Schizosaccharomyces pombe: one gene and its partners. The protein of the gene in region 1 purifies or fractionates together with the protein of each later gene. This does not show direct contact. Each region holds a gene or a part of one and is shown in the gene's direction. Other genes may lie near its edges. The genes, in order: imp1, efg1, rpn7 and pun1.

Region 1 (4,312 bases):
CTTCCAATTGGGAAAAGTTAAAGAAGGTATGAAAGGCTATAGTTTCCATTAAGTCATTTAAGATTCTTGTTTAAGTATACTAACGGTATTGGTTGTTTAGAAACTCGACAGCGCTAAGAGTGGACGGGTTGAAAAAAAGCATTCTAATGAAAAGAAATACCTTAAAAGTGTGAAAGGTAAAAACAATGAGAATGAGAATTCTTATATCGTCGATAAAAAACGCATGAATGAATTAAAGAAATTTGCTAAGGAAAATGATATCCCTGAATCTCAAGTCCTTGACGCATATGGCGTGGATGCTTCCAAGCTTACCAGAAAAACCAATTTGGAAACATTGGGGAAATATATTGCAATGGATTGTGAAATGGTTGGGGTGGCAGATGACATGTCAGTTCTTGCACGCGTCAGTATAGTTAATTATCATGGTCATGTCGTGTATGATACTTATGTCCGTCCTAAAGAAAAGGTTACGGATTGGAGAACATGGGTCAGTGGTGTCAAGTCATTTCACATGCGGGATGCACCTTCATTTGAAAAAGTACAAGCAGAAGTTGCTAAGATACTCGACAATCGAGTATTGGTTGGACATGCTGTCCATAACGATCTCAAAGTACTACTTTTATCGCATCCAAGAAGAATGATTCGTGATACCAGCAGATTTTCTGGGTATCGGAAATTAGCCAAGGGAAGGACACCAGGGCTTAAAAAACTTGCTGAAGTGATTCTTGGGCGTGACATTCAATCTGGACAGCATTCTTCCGTCCAGGATGCCCAAGCAACGATGGAATTATATAAGAAAGTAAAAAAAGAAATGGATGAAGTTGCATTCAAAGGTTTGTCAAAGTCATAAGCTTTGAATCACTAGACTTCGTTCTGGTCATTTGGGATTTGGGTTTAATAATATGCAAGAAAATGTTTCTTATAATTTTACTGGATATGTGTCAGATGTTAAATATATTTTCGGTTGCTTATAACAGCAATATTGTTTTCATTGGCTCTTATGAAATCGTTGGTTTTCTTTCTTTATTTATCTCTTCTGTTTCCTTCGTTTCTGGTTTTAAATAGTCAATCTATTAATAATTTTTAGTATAAATAAATGATGCATACAACTGAAGGAAAGAAATAATGTATGGAAAAAACAAGGATATAGAGATTTATCAGCTTCGTTTATATGGTCTTCATAATTACTTTGTGAATTAATAAAGTTAATGTTATATAATTAGATTACTTCCTATAGTGTATATGATTTAGAGCATTTTAACTGAATGACGATAATATGTTTTCAAGCGCCGTTAAGTTAATTCCTAAATTTATATAAATACCGAATTAATCTTTATTATCACAAAAAAAATAAAAAATATATATATTAATAATAGCTACCAAATAAATTCTAGTTAGACAATGGACCATTAATGTATACATATTAATAGCTTACAAAACAGATACGGAAGTGTTTGAAAAATAAGTATTTATTCAAAGATTAAATTGCTCAACTATATGTATTATATAATCAAAATAAAAATAAAAATAGGCCAACTTGACAGGTTGTTTAAAGAAAAATTCCATTTGTTTTTAAATTTTGAATTCTTGTTATAGCATTCAGCTTGTTAAAAACCCAAGAAAAATTGGTTGATGAGCTCAATAAGCATGTTGTTTTACCCGTTTTATGGTGCGAAGGTTTCCAATGACAGAACAAAAATGATCTAGAAAGTTTCAACGATTTGAACCGGAAAATGATATATTTCAAATTATTCTAAATTTATTATTTTTGAACATTGTTACCTGGGTGCCGGCTGCTTCTTGGAACGACACAAGTGCTCTTTTACCTCCTTATTCTCATTAAACTCGCAGCAACCACAACTGTCTTAGATAACTAAAAAAAAAAGAGTAAAAAGGATATCAAAAAAGTTTATTCCTATAGAAATGGAATCGAGATATTTATCAGATAGAAGAAGCCGTTTTAAAAGCAAAGGTGTTTTCAAAGCTGATGAACTTCGTCGGCAACGTGAAGAACAGCAAATTGAAATCCGCAAACAAAAACGTGAGGAAAGTTTGAATAAACGAAGGAATTTAAACGCTGTTTTACAAAATGACATTGATGTGGAAGAGGAGGCTGATCAGTCTCAGGTTCAAATGGAGCAACAAATGAAAGATGAATTTCCTAAATTGACAGCTGATGTGATGTCAGACGACATTGAGCTACAATTAGGTGCCGTCACGAAATTCAGGAAATATCTTTCTAAGGAGACGCATCCCCCTATTGATCAGGTAATTGCTTGTGGTGTTGTTGACCGGTTCGTACAATTTTTAGAAAGTGAACATCACTTGCTTCAATTTGAAGCGGCTTGGGCCTTAACAAATATCGCTAGTGGTACCACAGATCAAACCCGTATTGTTGTTGATTCCGGCGCTGTTCCTCGTTTTATTCAATTACTTTCTTCACCTGAAAAAGATGTCCGTGAGCAGGTTGTATGGGCCCTCGGTAACATAGCTGGCGATTCTTCTGCCTGCCGTGACTATGTACTCGGTAACGGAGTTTTACAGCCTTTACTTAATATTCTTCAGAGTAGCGCTTCTGATGTTTCTATGCTCCGTAACGCTACATGGACACTTTCTAACTTGTGTAGAGGCAAAAATCCACCACCTAACTGGTCAACTATTTCTGTAGCCGTTCCAATCCTTGCTAAGCTCCTTTATTCTGAAGACGTTGAGATTATTGTTGACGCGTGCTGGGCCATCTCCTATCTTTCTGATGGACCTAACGAAAAAATTGGCGCCATTTTAGACGTTGGATGTGCGCCCAGGCTTGTTGAACTTTTGAGCTCTCCCAGCGTTAATATTCAAACTCCTGCCCTTCGCTCTGTGGGGAATATAGTAACAGGTACTGACGCGCAAACACAGATCATAATCGATTGCGGTGCTCTCAATGCATTCCCTAGTCTTCTCAGTCATCAAAAAGAGAACATTCGTAAGGAAGCTTGTTGGACTATTAGCAATATTACTGCTGGCAATACCCAACAAATCCAAGCAATTATTGAAAGTAATCTTATACCTCCATTGGTCCATTTACTCTCATATGCCGACTACAAAACAAAAAAAGAAGCCTGTTGGGCTATTTCTAATGCTACTTCTGGCGGTCTCGGTCAGCCTGACCAAATTCGTTACCTTGTGTCACAAGGCGTTATTAAGCCACTTTGCGATATGTTGAACGGATCCGATAATAAAATTATTCAAGTTGCTCTCGATGCCATTGAAAACATACTTAAAGTTGGTGAGATGGACAGAACTATGGATCTTGAAAACATTAATCAATACGCTGTCTACGTTGAGGAAGCTGGCGGTATGGATATGATCCATGATTTGCAATCCTCCGGAAATAACGATATTTATTTGAAAGCGTATAGCATCATTGAAAAGTATTTCAGTGACGAGGACGCAGTTGAAGATTTGGCACCTGAAACCGAAAATGGCGCCTTCACATTTGGCAATGGCCCTCAAGCTCAAGGAGAATTTAAATTTGATTCTCAAGATATGGCTATGTAACGTTTAAATTAATTTTAAAAAAATTTTTTTTGTTCTAATCGAAGCGCACATTATTTACATGTTTCACTTAGACAAATTCTGTTTTCCATTACTGGTGCTTTTGTTGGGTTTGTATTTCTTTTTTTTACCCTCTATTTTTAATTCAATTTAGCTATTTGTGAAGCTAAGTATTTCTATTAGGATTAAAAACTACGGTTAAATAATATGTTTACGAAAAAAATGAGTGTACTACTAAAACAGAGCGGTACAGGTAAATAGCATGATATCACTAAAAATGTTTATATTCGTAAGAGCTGCAACTAGGCAAAATAGAGAAGGGGGTTTAGGATCAAAGAAAATAAAAATAAAAGAAAGCAGCGGGGACGATATACACTGTTAGGTTCAAATGACTTCGACTAATCGGTGAATGCAATTTGAAAACCAATAATGACGCAAATTTTTGCTAATAAGCATATATGCAAATCAAATATGACTGAAAAAAACTGCAGCTGTCTTATCGTATTATGTCCCTCGAAAAAACAATTTAGGCACTAGCTAAGACCTTTTCGATTTCACCGAGACTTTCATTGAGAGCATCCTGTTGGAACTTTTGGGTAGAAACTTTGCTGTTGACACGAGCCAAGACATCTTCAACGAGACGTTCCTGTTGTTCAGCGCGAACGTTGGCTTCGTGATGAACCCAGCTATCCAACACTGATTTAGCTTCTTTAGCTAAAGCAACTCGCTGTTCGAGCTCAAAGATCTCAGCCTCCATACGGGCAGTTTCTTT
Region 2 (3,742 bases), on another chromosome or scaffold:
TATAGGAAAGCAATACTTCATGAGCGGAATCCTCTGAATTGATTGAGTTGTTTCTTGTCGTTAGAAAGACTTTGGAGGAACAAGAAGACGAGGAATCGAAAGAGTTTTCATCGACAAATTCGCTGACATCAAATTGTGGGACATCAGAAAGTGTGTTAAATGGTGAAGAGTTTAAAGGATACAGTTTTTCTTTGAAGGAAAATATCAAATCATTATAAGGGTTAAATGAAAAGGGAATGACCTCATCATGGACAGAAAAAAGTTTCGGTTGTTCGTTTATGACACCCAAAATTTGAACATGAGTTGGAAAGGCTGTAGAAGGAGTAAAAAAATCAATGCCAGAACATTGTGAATTTGGTTTAACAGGATATTTCTTCTCATAATTTACAAAGACAGAATTATTTGCGGATCCTTCATTTCCATTGACACAAGGCAATAATTGACGAAGTGTAATCGAATTGTTTGACAAAACAGCCAATTGTCCAGGTTTCCATTCAGAATATTTCAGTGCAAATAATTGTGGATTTTTGGGCTTTTTATTTTCGTTCCGTAAAATAATTTGTAAATAATTATCGGATTTGAAGTATCGAGTATCAAAAATCGCAATGTCACCATCATAAGAATTTGCGGCAAAATAGTTAGGAGAAAATGGATCAACAACTATATTACTATAATATTGCGTATTGACGGAAGAAACTGAGTCTAGTTGCTGCCTAGTATCAATTATATGGACAGAACGCGAAGTTGATCCGGTAAGCAAAAGAGGAGTGTCTTTCTTATAACAAACGGAAGAAACTCCGTCTAGAGTAGAAGACTGCATTAAGGGACTACTCTTCGGGTCAGACAGTAATGAATTCAAGTCCCATAACTTCAAGGAAGACTCGTTTCGAGATTTTGCAAATCCAGCAACAAGATGTTCAGTTTCAGAAAATGCCAAACTATTGCAAGGGCGAGCATATCCAGGTGTTACTACTGCTTGAAATTCTGGATGCTTAACAGAAAGCAATGATATATTTCCGGTAGAAGAACCAGCACCCAATATTTCATTGTTTCCGTGAAAAGAGTCTATACATTTAACATTTTTCAATGATCTCCAAATAATGTGAGTTTTCCAATTTACTTTAGGGGAAGCTTTGACGGCGACATATCGAATCTCATCTGAGGAGCCGTTAACCCAAAAATAACAGCCATTCCTCTTTTTACTTCTATTTAACATTCTCTAAAGAGAAATTTGACAATTAGGCTTTACCAGAAACGCCCAAAATACTGCATAAACATTAAACAGAGCTTGATCGAAGCGTTCTTCAATCTCAACCACTCGTCAAACATAACGTTTAGCACTAATTTGCTTAACGATAGCTAACAGAAATGCCTTAACAACGGACTGAAAAGAGGCTGTCAAATTCAAAGGTTTTCTTTTTGCTATTGATGATTCTCTTAACAATAGTAGTATTAAAATACAGACCGGTTGCTAGATTAACTATCTTTTGCATACTTTTTAATCTCTAGGGTGACTTCGGTGTCGAACAAGCGATTCTTTGATGTACTGTTGAAAGTCTAAGCTTTTAAATCACTCCACAAGTACAACATATAAATCTACCTTGAATAAGTGTGAGTGAATCAAATATTTTAATCATAATTACCAGCTTAAACTTATATATAAAAGTAACGTGTCACTTGAGAACCTAGCAGCTGTAAAAATTGCAGTCCTTTAAGTTTACTACTGTTCTTCACCAGAACTAATTGTTTATGGTTTGAATTTCTATTTATCTATTTTATTGAGCGTTTTAGCATGCCAAAATTTAAGGGCCCTGGACTTTCTGTGCTGAAGAAAAAAATTCGCGACAATGAGAGATTATTGAAAAAGGTGTGTAATTTTTTTGCTGGTTTAAAAACATCTGCGGTTTCAGTGTGTAATAAATATTACCTTCCTTTTTATGTTAATGAATAAGAAAACTAACTTCCTTTAAGGAGAATTTGCCTGCAAACATTCGTGTTGAACATGAACGAGCTCTTTTGGGTCTACAAGAGCAGTTGTCTATGGCACAGTTAGAGCATAAAAAGCAAAAGATTTTTGAAAGATACAAAAAAGTTCGATTTTTTGGTATGAAACATATATAAAAACAGCATTTTTTGTTCAGTGAACTTGCTTACTGATTTTCTCAGAACGTAAAAAAGCAGAACGACGTATTAAACAATTGGAAAAATCTTTGAAGGATGAAACTATGGATGATGAGAAACGCAAGCAGTGTGAGAAATCGATGCGTAAATGTCAAATTGATCTTATGTATATTAAAGTATGTTTGTATTTTCGACTTCATTTCAACTATCAACTTGGCTAAGATACTAACCTATTTAGGAATACCCCCCTTTAACAAAGTATGTTTCACTCTACGCAGAAGGCACATCTGAACAGACCGAAGAAACTCGAAATCGCATTTGGGCCGAGATGGAAGAACGCTTTAATAGTGGCAGAAAACACAAAATACCATCTTCAGGTTCCAACAGGGTTCCTGTACAGGAAAAAAGTTCAACTGGTGGTGATTTGGAAGATGAATTTTTGCAAAGATAAATGAAAACTTGGATTGAGGTTTTGGAAATAAAGGGATTAAATAGACGAAACTGTAATAATATGATTCATTCTTTTTAATAAAGGTTGTGAAGTTTCCATATGAGTTATCGAGCAAGGTATTCTTTTTATGCAAGTTTATTTAAATTTTTTCTATGTCATATTGCAATGGGATTTGCTAGGGTACCAAAAATAGAACTTGTGGGAGAGAAGCTTTTGGATCCTAAGGTTCACTGAAGATATTTTTCACATATTTCATTCTATAATCTAATATGCTAAAATTCGAATGATATTTCATGGAATATCAAATTAATAAAAATATAAATTTACAAGAATTTAAGTAAAAACAAAAAATTAGGACTTTCATTTTGTTCTGTTTTAGGTGGTCGAATTATTAGACAGTTTAATAGTCTTTATCATTGCAGCAGTGTTTTTAAGAGCTCTTAGATGGACTTTCGGTTTTATCATCACAGTACCCTGTTATTTGCCTGGCAAAAAGTTACCTAGTGGGGGTTTAAAAATCAACACCAGTATGTAGTATATACATTTTATAATAATTATTTTTACATTTGCTTCTATAGATTGGTATATTTGAATTTATGGGTTTAAGACCTCAATAATATGGTGTAGTATATTGACTTTGCGCCCTTGGTGGTGTCCACGGATACCTAACCTCCGCACCACACGAAGTTACGACTTGTTTAGTGTCGATATGGCTGAGGGCACAAGCCAAAGGCCATTAACGCCTTTGTCGCAGGCATTTTTGTCAACTAATACTCTTTCTCCTGCTTCTTCCCCTTTAACTTTCCATTCTGAGGCTGCATCTCTGCGTAGAAAACGGTCCAACTTTTTCCCCAAATTAGATGAATTAAATGGAGCTCAAGATGAAGAAATGAGAGGTCTTAATATTCCTGGAGGATCAGGATATCTCGAGAACCGATATGGTCGTGATAAGTTTACGTTTTCTGATGCAGCCGTTAACAGTGCTGGAATGGGAGGGTCTGGCATATTTTCCCACAACAATGCAGATGATGGTTTGGGTGATGGTTCTTCTACGGTTTTACCAAGTTCCCTTAAACAAATGCTGGATCCTGAAATTTCAACTGCCAATAATCCATCTGCAAAGCCTCGTCGAACTCGTCTTCAAACTGCTTGGAAAGAAGCAACTAATTC
Region 3 (3,466 bases), 3.5 Mb from region 1:
ATCAATTTGGGCACCGTACAAAGGATATTGAGGAGCGGGAACCATTACACCATCTGTTGGCCTAGCGATTATCAAAGTCATTATAAGCCGGGCAGCGTGTGAGGCACCACTAGTCAAATATATGTCAGATGGCTCGCAATCAAATCCATCTCTCGCTAAAATATAATTAGAAAATGTGTAAAGATAAAAAGAAAAAAGAATGAATGGCGGAGTCTAAAATCATTTTTTATCGAGCAAGACCCTAGCAGCTTTAATGGGTTGCAGTATTTTTGCTAAATTTCTTAATACAGTCTGCGAATTGTCTCTGTGTCCGACGATCTTCACTCTTTCTTCTTAAAATGCTTACCTCTAATGAAATCCGCAACATGTCGCCTTACAAGCGGAATACCTTGAGAAGCACTATAGGCACCCAAACTTCCAGATTCCTTTAAGAGCATTTTGGATCGTTGTACGACATCCGTAGGGAACAAATTTTGAAACCACTTTTCCTCAGCATGGTCTAACAAGGTAGGGTACTGGCAAAGAGATAAAACCTGTCGAACGAATGTAATAGGAGACTGTCCCATCTGCTGAGGATTACCGATGTTTGCATAGACGATCTCACTGAAAGGATATGAAGAAGGATTTTCAAGTAAATCATCTTGGATCTCGTCCGCAAGAATGGCTAAAGCTCCACGGACGGCGTAATTTGCCTTAAATACTTGTTGATTCAAAGAATTAAGGTCTGAGAACGCATTTTGACAAAATCCATCAAGGTCCGACATTCTTGGAGACTCACAGTTAATATCATTTGGATAATCTGTAAACATAAATATAAAGTAGATAATCGTTATTTGATATTATGTACTTCACTCTTTCTACTGTATTTTATTTGGAGATACTTATCAACCGCTCACTGTATTCACTTATATTACATATACTAATTTTTTCACTAACTTAGCATAATGAACAGAGAAAAAATAGCTCCTAAAAAATACTCAGTGAATGACAACGTTTCCGTTATTTTTATATTTTTATTTTCCATTAACCGGATTATACAGGCTTAAATATGATATTCTAATAAACCATTTTTGTTTGTTTTATATATATTAAGTAAGCAATATTCAATGCGAAAAATTATTTGAATTCCTTTAGTAAGCCCCAACCTATGCTACATGTCGTGTAAACCAAAAAATTAGAACGATGTAAAAACAGAGGTATAGAAGAGATGCTTGCTTATTTGCTTAACTTTTTTGTCTTATAGAATTTGGTTAATTAAATTAATTTAACGATTTACAAGTTTCGAGAAGACTGATGGAATGTTCAAGCACTTGACTTTTCAGAATGGCATATTTCACAAAAAAGAATTGAAAAGAATAAAATTTACGAGTTTTAAGATTCGTTTCTAATAAAATTTAATTAAAACATGTTACTAGAACATAAGGAACAGTGGAAGTTGAAAAGTAGAAAAAGAACTTTTTCTCTTTAGTTGTTTGAATTAAATTTATATTTGAAATTTAAATAAACTACAAAAAATTAACATTTTACTAACTTTTAGATGAGTGAAATGTACAATATGTAGTTTAGTTAGCTGTTGATATGTGTTCTCCCTCTGCAACACTCACACACCGCACCATGACAGAAAAGGCAAGAACCGTATCAGATTTGACCATTTCGCAAGCGATTTTCGAGCTTTCCTCGCCATTCCTTGAGAATAAGAGCCAAAAGGCTTTGGATACGCTTTTTTCTGCCATTCGTGATCATGATTTAGCTCCACTTTATAAATATCTTTCAGAGAACCCTAAAACATCGGCAAGTATTGATTTTGATAGTAATTTTTTAAATAGTATGATAAAGAAAAATGAAGAAAAGTTAGCAGAGTTTGACAAAGCGATCGAAGATGCCCAAGAACTTAATGGAGAACATGAAATTTTAGAAGCCATGAAAAACAAAGCTGATTATTATACGAATATATGCGATAGAGAACGTGGTGTACAGTTATGCGATGAAACTTTTGAACGAGCAACATTGACCGGAATGAAGATTGATGTTCTTTTTTCCAAAATCCGTTTGGCATACGTGTATGCTGATATGAGGGTCGTTGGTCAATTATTGGAAAAATTAAAGCCACTTATTGAAAAGGGAGGTGATTGGGAGAGGAAAAATCGATTAAAGGCCTACCAAGGCATATATTTGATGTCAATCCGTAATTTTTCTGGTGCCGCCGACCTTCTCTTGGATTGTATGTCAACTTTCTCTTCCACCGAACTACTTCCATATTACGACGTCGTTCGATATGCCGTGATTTCTGGTGCAATTTCTTTAGATCGTGTTGATGTCAAGACCAAAATCGTTGATTCACCTGAAGTGCTTGCCGTGCTACCTCAAAATGAATCAATGTCTAGTTTGGAAGCATGTATCAACAGCTTGTACTTATGTGACTATTCCGGATTTTTTCGAACCTTGGCCGATGTTGAAGTTAATCATCTTAAATGTGATCAATTTCTTGTCGCCCATTATAGATACTATGTGCGTGAAATGAGAAGACGTGCTTACGCCCAGTTACTTGAATCTTACCGTGCTCTCAGTATCGATTCCATGGCCGCTTCCTTTGGCGTATCTGTTGATTATATCGATCGCGATTTGGCGTCATTTATCCCAGACAACAAGTTGAACTGTGTAATTGATCGAGTCAACGGTGTTGTATTTACAAACCGTCCTGATGAAAAAAACCGTCAATACCAAGAGGTTGTTAAGCAGGGTGATGTTTTACTTAACAAACTCCAAAAATACCAAGCCACTGTTATGCGTGGTGCCTTTAAGGTATAATTTAACTCAGTGCCTACGTTTAATGAAATATGGTTCAATGCATGTATCGTTTATCTATATTGTCTGGTTTAAACATTTGAAAAGTAATAATATGAAACGGTATTAAGTTTTGGTGCCATGAACATTATTTGTAAACGAAATGTAGAAATGATTAAAGCATACGAATCTTTATTCAACTATTATTAGGGACTAAATAGATAGTTGTGCAATTTTTGGTGGTGTTTACGTATATCTCAAATGTTTCTTCACTCGTAAATACAATGTTGTTTGATGAGCCTGCGACGCGTTCCATTTACCAACAACATTTCGTATGTTAGTGACACTAATTCGTAGCGAAAAGATTTGAAACAATACAAGGTTAAGAGATTAACAGATTGATTTAATATGGAATATCAAGAAGAGGCTTCTCTCGCCTCGGCTGAAGATTCGACTTTCATAGCTTCATCGCCTGTTCAAAGTGTTAGCGAGATGAAGTCTATTAAGCAGAAGAGTTTTCAGTATTTTGATGATTATGAAAAGAATGTCTCAGATAAAACAATTCAATTTCAGAAGCTACAAATGACTGCTAAAGAAATAATTGATGCTTTTGAGCGCGATTCTACTCAACGTACGCTACAAATCGAAAGTTTGGAAAGTAAGATAGGAGAGCAGGAACGGG
Region 4 (3,547 bases), on another chromosome or scaffold:
GGCTGAGTCAATGCCGTGTAAAGCAACATACCATATACTCATGTTAAATTCATGAGCATGAGCTTGAAGTGGAACAATTTTGATATACTTACAAGCAATTGAATTCTCAATTTTGTTATATTTCTTGATACACAATGGAAATGTTTCTCGATTTGAATCATTTGTCAATCCAGCTCTTAATAAAGGGAACATCAAATGCTGTTCACGCCCCCCATATACTATAAAACTTAAAACTGTTAGAGGAAGAAAAAAAAAATAAACCGCTTACTCTTTAAGGTTGCAAAGATGGGGAGTGTGGAATTTCCCAAAGGTGATATCGGTAACCAACGCAAGTTTATCAAGTTTCAGAATTACATACTGTTCTTCAGAGTTGTTGGGTTTACATATTGAAGTATTACAGCTCCATCGGCTGTTAGCCTGGTGTGGATTATCGATAAGTATATTGATAGGATGAAATGCTCCAGAATAGCTGGACCAGCTTTGAATGGTATAAGACAATTCTTTACGTTCCATTTAAAGAATCAATAATTATCTTCGTCTGACCGCTATGAGTCTAGCAACAATGTATGTGTATTGGAGAAATCAGGAAAGCACCTAATGTAAACAAACAAAAGAGGCAGTAATGATCGCTTCCTTAAGGTGCTTTACAGTCTTGGTAAGGGTCTAAACTTAAAAGGGAAATTTCAGTAAACAATTATAATTCATTTTGTAAAAGTTGAAATTGGATCCAGTATTGAACTTAACTTATTGACGAATATGAAGAAAGTAGTTCTGTTCTGCCATTCGATATTACAAAAGAAACTCCAACAGCTCTTTCGCATTTCTCCAGAAAAAAAAATAACTATTTTGTCATTATCTGAGAATTTCGCTCATTTATTTGGCAAATTAAATGAATTCACAAACTACCCAATCTTGCGATGGACCAAACCACTTTCCAAAATTTCAATTGTAACTAGAGCAACACAACCATATTAAGTATAAATTATTGGTTAATTAAGTATCCTCGTCATGAAAGCATGGTAGAAGATAATATGGGAAATCTATATGATGTTAGTTTAAATATTATATCTGATTCATTGACGACGTAAATTCCTCTTCTCTATTATATAATCACGGATCTTTGAGAGTCATTAAACGATTAAATGTTAATATGATAATCATATGATTTCTTTTTTATACAAAAACTATATAAAGCCCAAATTATTGTGTTCGGTATCATGGAACGAATACTAAGAAAAGCAAAGCGCTTATGTTGATTTTTTTACTTGGCTATCTAATGAACGCTTTCTTTTCATATATAATGGGGCTTGAAACTCAAGCTGCGCCTATATGTCAGTAATGTACGACACAGCATGCGCCGCTGAGTTCGTATATCAGAACTGTTTCTTTTGCTGCGAAAGAACTGTAAAATTGCTGTCACTGCATCCTTTTCACACGTATAATAGTCGAGCTTGTTGCAAACATCGAAAACGTCCCGCGTTTGGTTTATTTACATTGATATGACCCGTCTGTTTACACTTGGTTGTCATGACAACTTCGCTTTCTCAAAACATATTTTACTCGTAGCGGGCCCTCCGTGTCAATTGTGGCATTCCAAATTTACAGAAGATTAAGACTTTAAGAGATTGCGCCTCTGATGCGTATAAAAGGTTAAGAAACAATCAGCTACTTGCCTTTACGATTGAAAAAAAAAACCAGTTCTCTCTCTTTTGTTTACTATCCATACTATCTTGTTTACTCAATATCCTCGCGTTAAATCGTATTAATTTCAAAGAAATTCGTTTTACAACAGCGTTTTTGAAGTGTTTCCCTCTATTTTTCAGCCGATTTTTTGTCCTTCTTCTTCCCAGCTTCTTGAAGAATTGTTTATTTCTGGAGACTACATATCAGTTTTCCTTATTAATCGTGATATCTATTATATATAATCATATATATTATTCTTTCTTTTTGTCATCCCAAGCAAATTGGTTTTTGATATAACTGTTTGTCAAAATGGGAATGGGGTTCAATCCTATTAAAGCTTTGTTCACTGGTATTGGTACCGTTTGCGTTGGAGTTGGCGCGCTTTTGTCAATTCTATGCATCATCAATCAAACTCAGCATAACATTGCTTTTCAAAATATTTACTTTATTCAACTGAATACTACATCTATCTTTTCTGTCGCCAATCAAACTGCTGTTGTCAATAATACAAGCAACCTACTTAACGAGCTTACTGGAACACTGGTAGACACGCTCGAAACATATATTGATCAAGGTGCTACTGATTTAATCGAACAAGTTGAGCAGGAGATGAAGGACGTGTCTGAACTCCCGGACTGGTACTCCATTGGTCTTTGGAATTATTGTCAGGGAAATTCGTCTGATTATACAAATCCTACTTATTGTAGTACTCCTTCTCCTAGTTATTACTTCAACCCCCTTACAATGCTGGAAACCAGTATTAATAATGCAACTGGTAGCCAAATTAACATCACTTTACCTTCCGAGGTGGATTTAGGATTAAAAGTGCTTAAAGGGGCATGTTATGCTATGCGAGCCATGTATATTCTTGGATTTATTTTCTTTGCTCTGACAATAGTTTCAATCGTTATTTCTTGCCTTCCATTTTTTGGTCCCCTCTTTCTCAACGTCTTCTCATTCTTTGCAACTATTTTTACTTTTATCGCTGCAGTTATCGCAGTTGCAACTTATCGTATTGCAATTTCTGAATTGGAAAAAAATATCGAAATTCTTAACATTCCAATCGTTTTAGGAAAGAAAATTTATGCTTATTCATTCCTTTCAGCAGCTGCTGGCTTAGCTGCTTGTATTCTATATTTTATTGGAAATCTTACATCCGGATACAGTCCACTTTAAGTTGTATCGTCCGTTATTTATTGCCCATTATTTGTTAAAAATTAGCATGTTGTTTTATTTTCCCTTCTTTTTGTATTGATGTCAAGTTTCCTTTTTCTTTCATTTTTATGTTAGTTAGCATTGAGATTTGTTTTTCTTCAGATAGTTACTGTATTTAAAAATATACTTTTCTTTGACCCTTGTAACGTATATATATTGTTATTCAAGTATACTAAATTTTCATCCAAATAATGTTCATTAAGTTTATCAAGTGATTCAAAATGCTCCGTTTTAAACTATTTCTTTGTCTTCGGCCAGTAATTGTTTAATCCATGTAAGATAATCCAGTCCTTCTGAATGTTTGTTCATGTTGCATTCTAAAAACTTTACTATATTAGGACGAACCTGACTCCTCAATAGATCATCGGACGTGACATAAGATTTTCCGTCTGCAACATCACAAAACGCATATAAAACTTGACGAGCACTATCACGATCCTCTAATTCTTCCATCACGATTTCTGTAAAACGCTCATAAGTAACACCCTCTTCCGAGTTAGCAGCCCTGTGAAACAAAGCAGTTCCTTCTTCGGTATCATAAACCAAGCCCAATGAGGCCAATGCGGCATAAAACTCGACCTCATTTAACATATTTGATTTTTTCTTTTCAAAATGGCGAAAGACTTTAGTAATTCCGTCTAGTTCTTGT

The links.
Region 2: the proteins of imp1 (region 1) and efg1 purify together in Schizosaccharomyces pombe (affinity purification with mass spectrometry, with the first as the bait; one study listed by BioGRID). This does not show direct contact.
Region 3: the proteins of imp1 (region 1) and rpn7 purify together in Schizosaccharomyces pombe (affinity purification with mass spectrometry, with the first as the bait; one study listed by BioGRID). This does not show direct contact.
Region 4: the proteins of imp1 (region 1) and pun1 purify together in Schizosaccharomyces pombe (affinity purification with mass spectrometry, with the first as the bait; one study listed by BioGRID). This does not show direct contact.

Annotation. Positions count from the first base shown.
Region 1 is NC_003423.3:3,914,703-3,919,014, forward strand, and holds imp1 (importin alpha family nuclear import signal receptor adaptor Imp1), read left to right. Parts: upstream 1-1,852; 5' UTR 1,853-1,923; coding exon 1,924-3,543; 3' UTR 3,544-3,812; downstream 3,813-4,312. Other genes in the region: exoribonuclease Rex4, read left to right, coding at 1-26, 101-850; F0-ATPase subunit atp4, read right to left, coding at 4,067-4,312. UniProt on the Schizosaccharomyces pombe protein: Functions as a component of the nuclear pore complex (NPC).
Region 2 is NC_003424.3:344,669-348,410, reverse strand, and holds efg1 (rRNA-processing protein), read left to right. Parts: upstream 1-1,732; 5' UTR 1,733-1,792; coding exon 1,793-1,867; intron 1,868-1,971; coding exon 1,972-2,104; exon of another isoform or gene 2,105-2,166; coding exon 2,167-2,297; exon of another isoform or gene 2,298-2,359; coding exon 2,360-2,572; 3' UTR 2,573-3,177; downstream 3,178-3,742. Other genes in the region: GATOR2-SEACAT complex ubiquitin-protein ligase E3 subunit Sea4, read right to left, coding at 1-1,216; RNA-binding protein Cip2, read left to right, coding at 3,282-3,742.
Region 3 is NC_003423.3:429,893-433,358, reverse strand, and holds rpn7 (19S proteasome regulatory subunit Rpn7), read left to right. Parts: upstream 1-1,593; 5' UTR 1,594-1,614; coding exon 1,615-2,808; 3' UTR 2,809-2,966; downstream 2,967-3,466. Other genes in the region: alt1 (putative alanine aminotransferase), read right to left, coding at 1-155, 347-764; mcp6 (horsetail movement protein Hrs1/Mcp6), read left to right, coding at 3,193-3,466. UniProt on the Schizosaccharomyces pombe protein: Component of the 19S cap proteasome complex which acts as a regulatory subunit of the 26S proteasome, involved in the ATP-dependent degradation of ubiquitinated proteins.
Region 4 is NC_003424.3:3,694,474-3,698,020, reverse strand, and holds pun1 (SUR7 family protein), read left to right. Parts: upstream 1-1,585; 5' UTR 1,586-1,992; coding exon 1,993-2,859; 3' UTR 2,860-3,047; downstream 3,048-3,547. Other genes in the region: mde6 (muskelin), read right to left, coding at 1-226, 269-513; ain1 (alpha-actinin), read right to left, coding at 3,130-3,547. UniProt on the Schizosaccharomyces pombe protein: Contributes to the wild-type cellular response to nitrogen stress through signaling pathways that regulate the expression of genes involved in amino acid biosynthesis. Required for wild-type filamentous growth, cell growth, and cell-cell adhesion.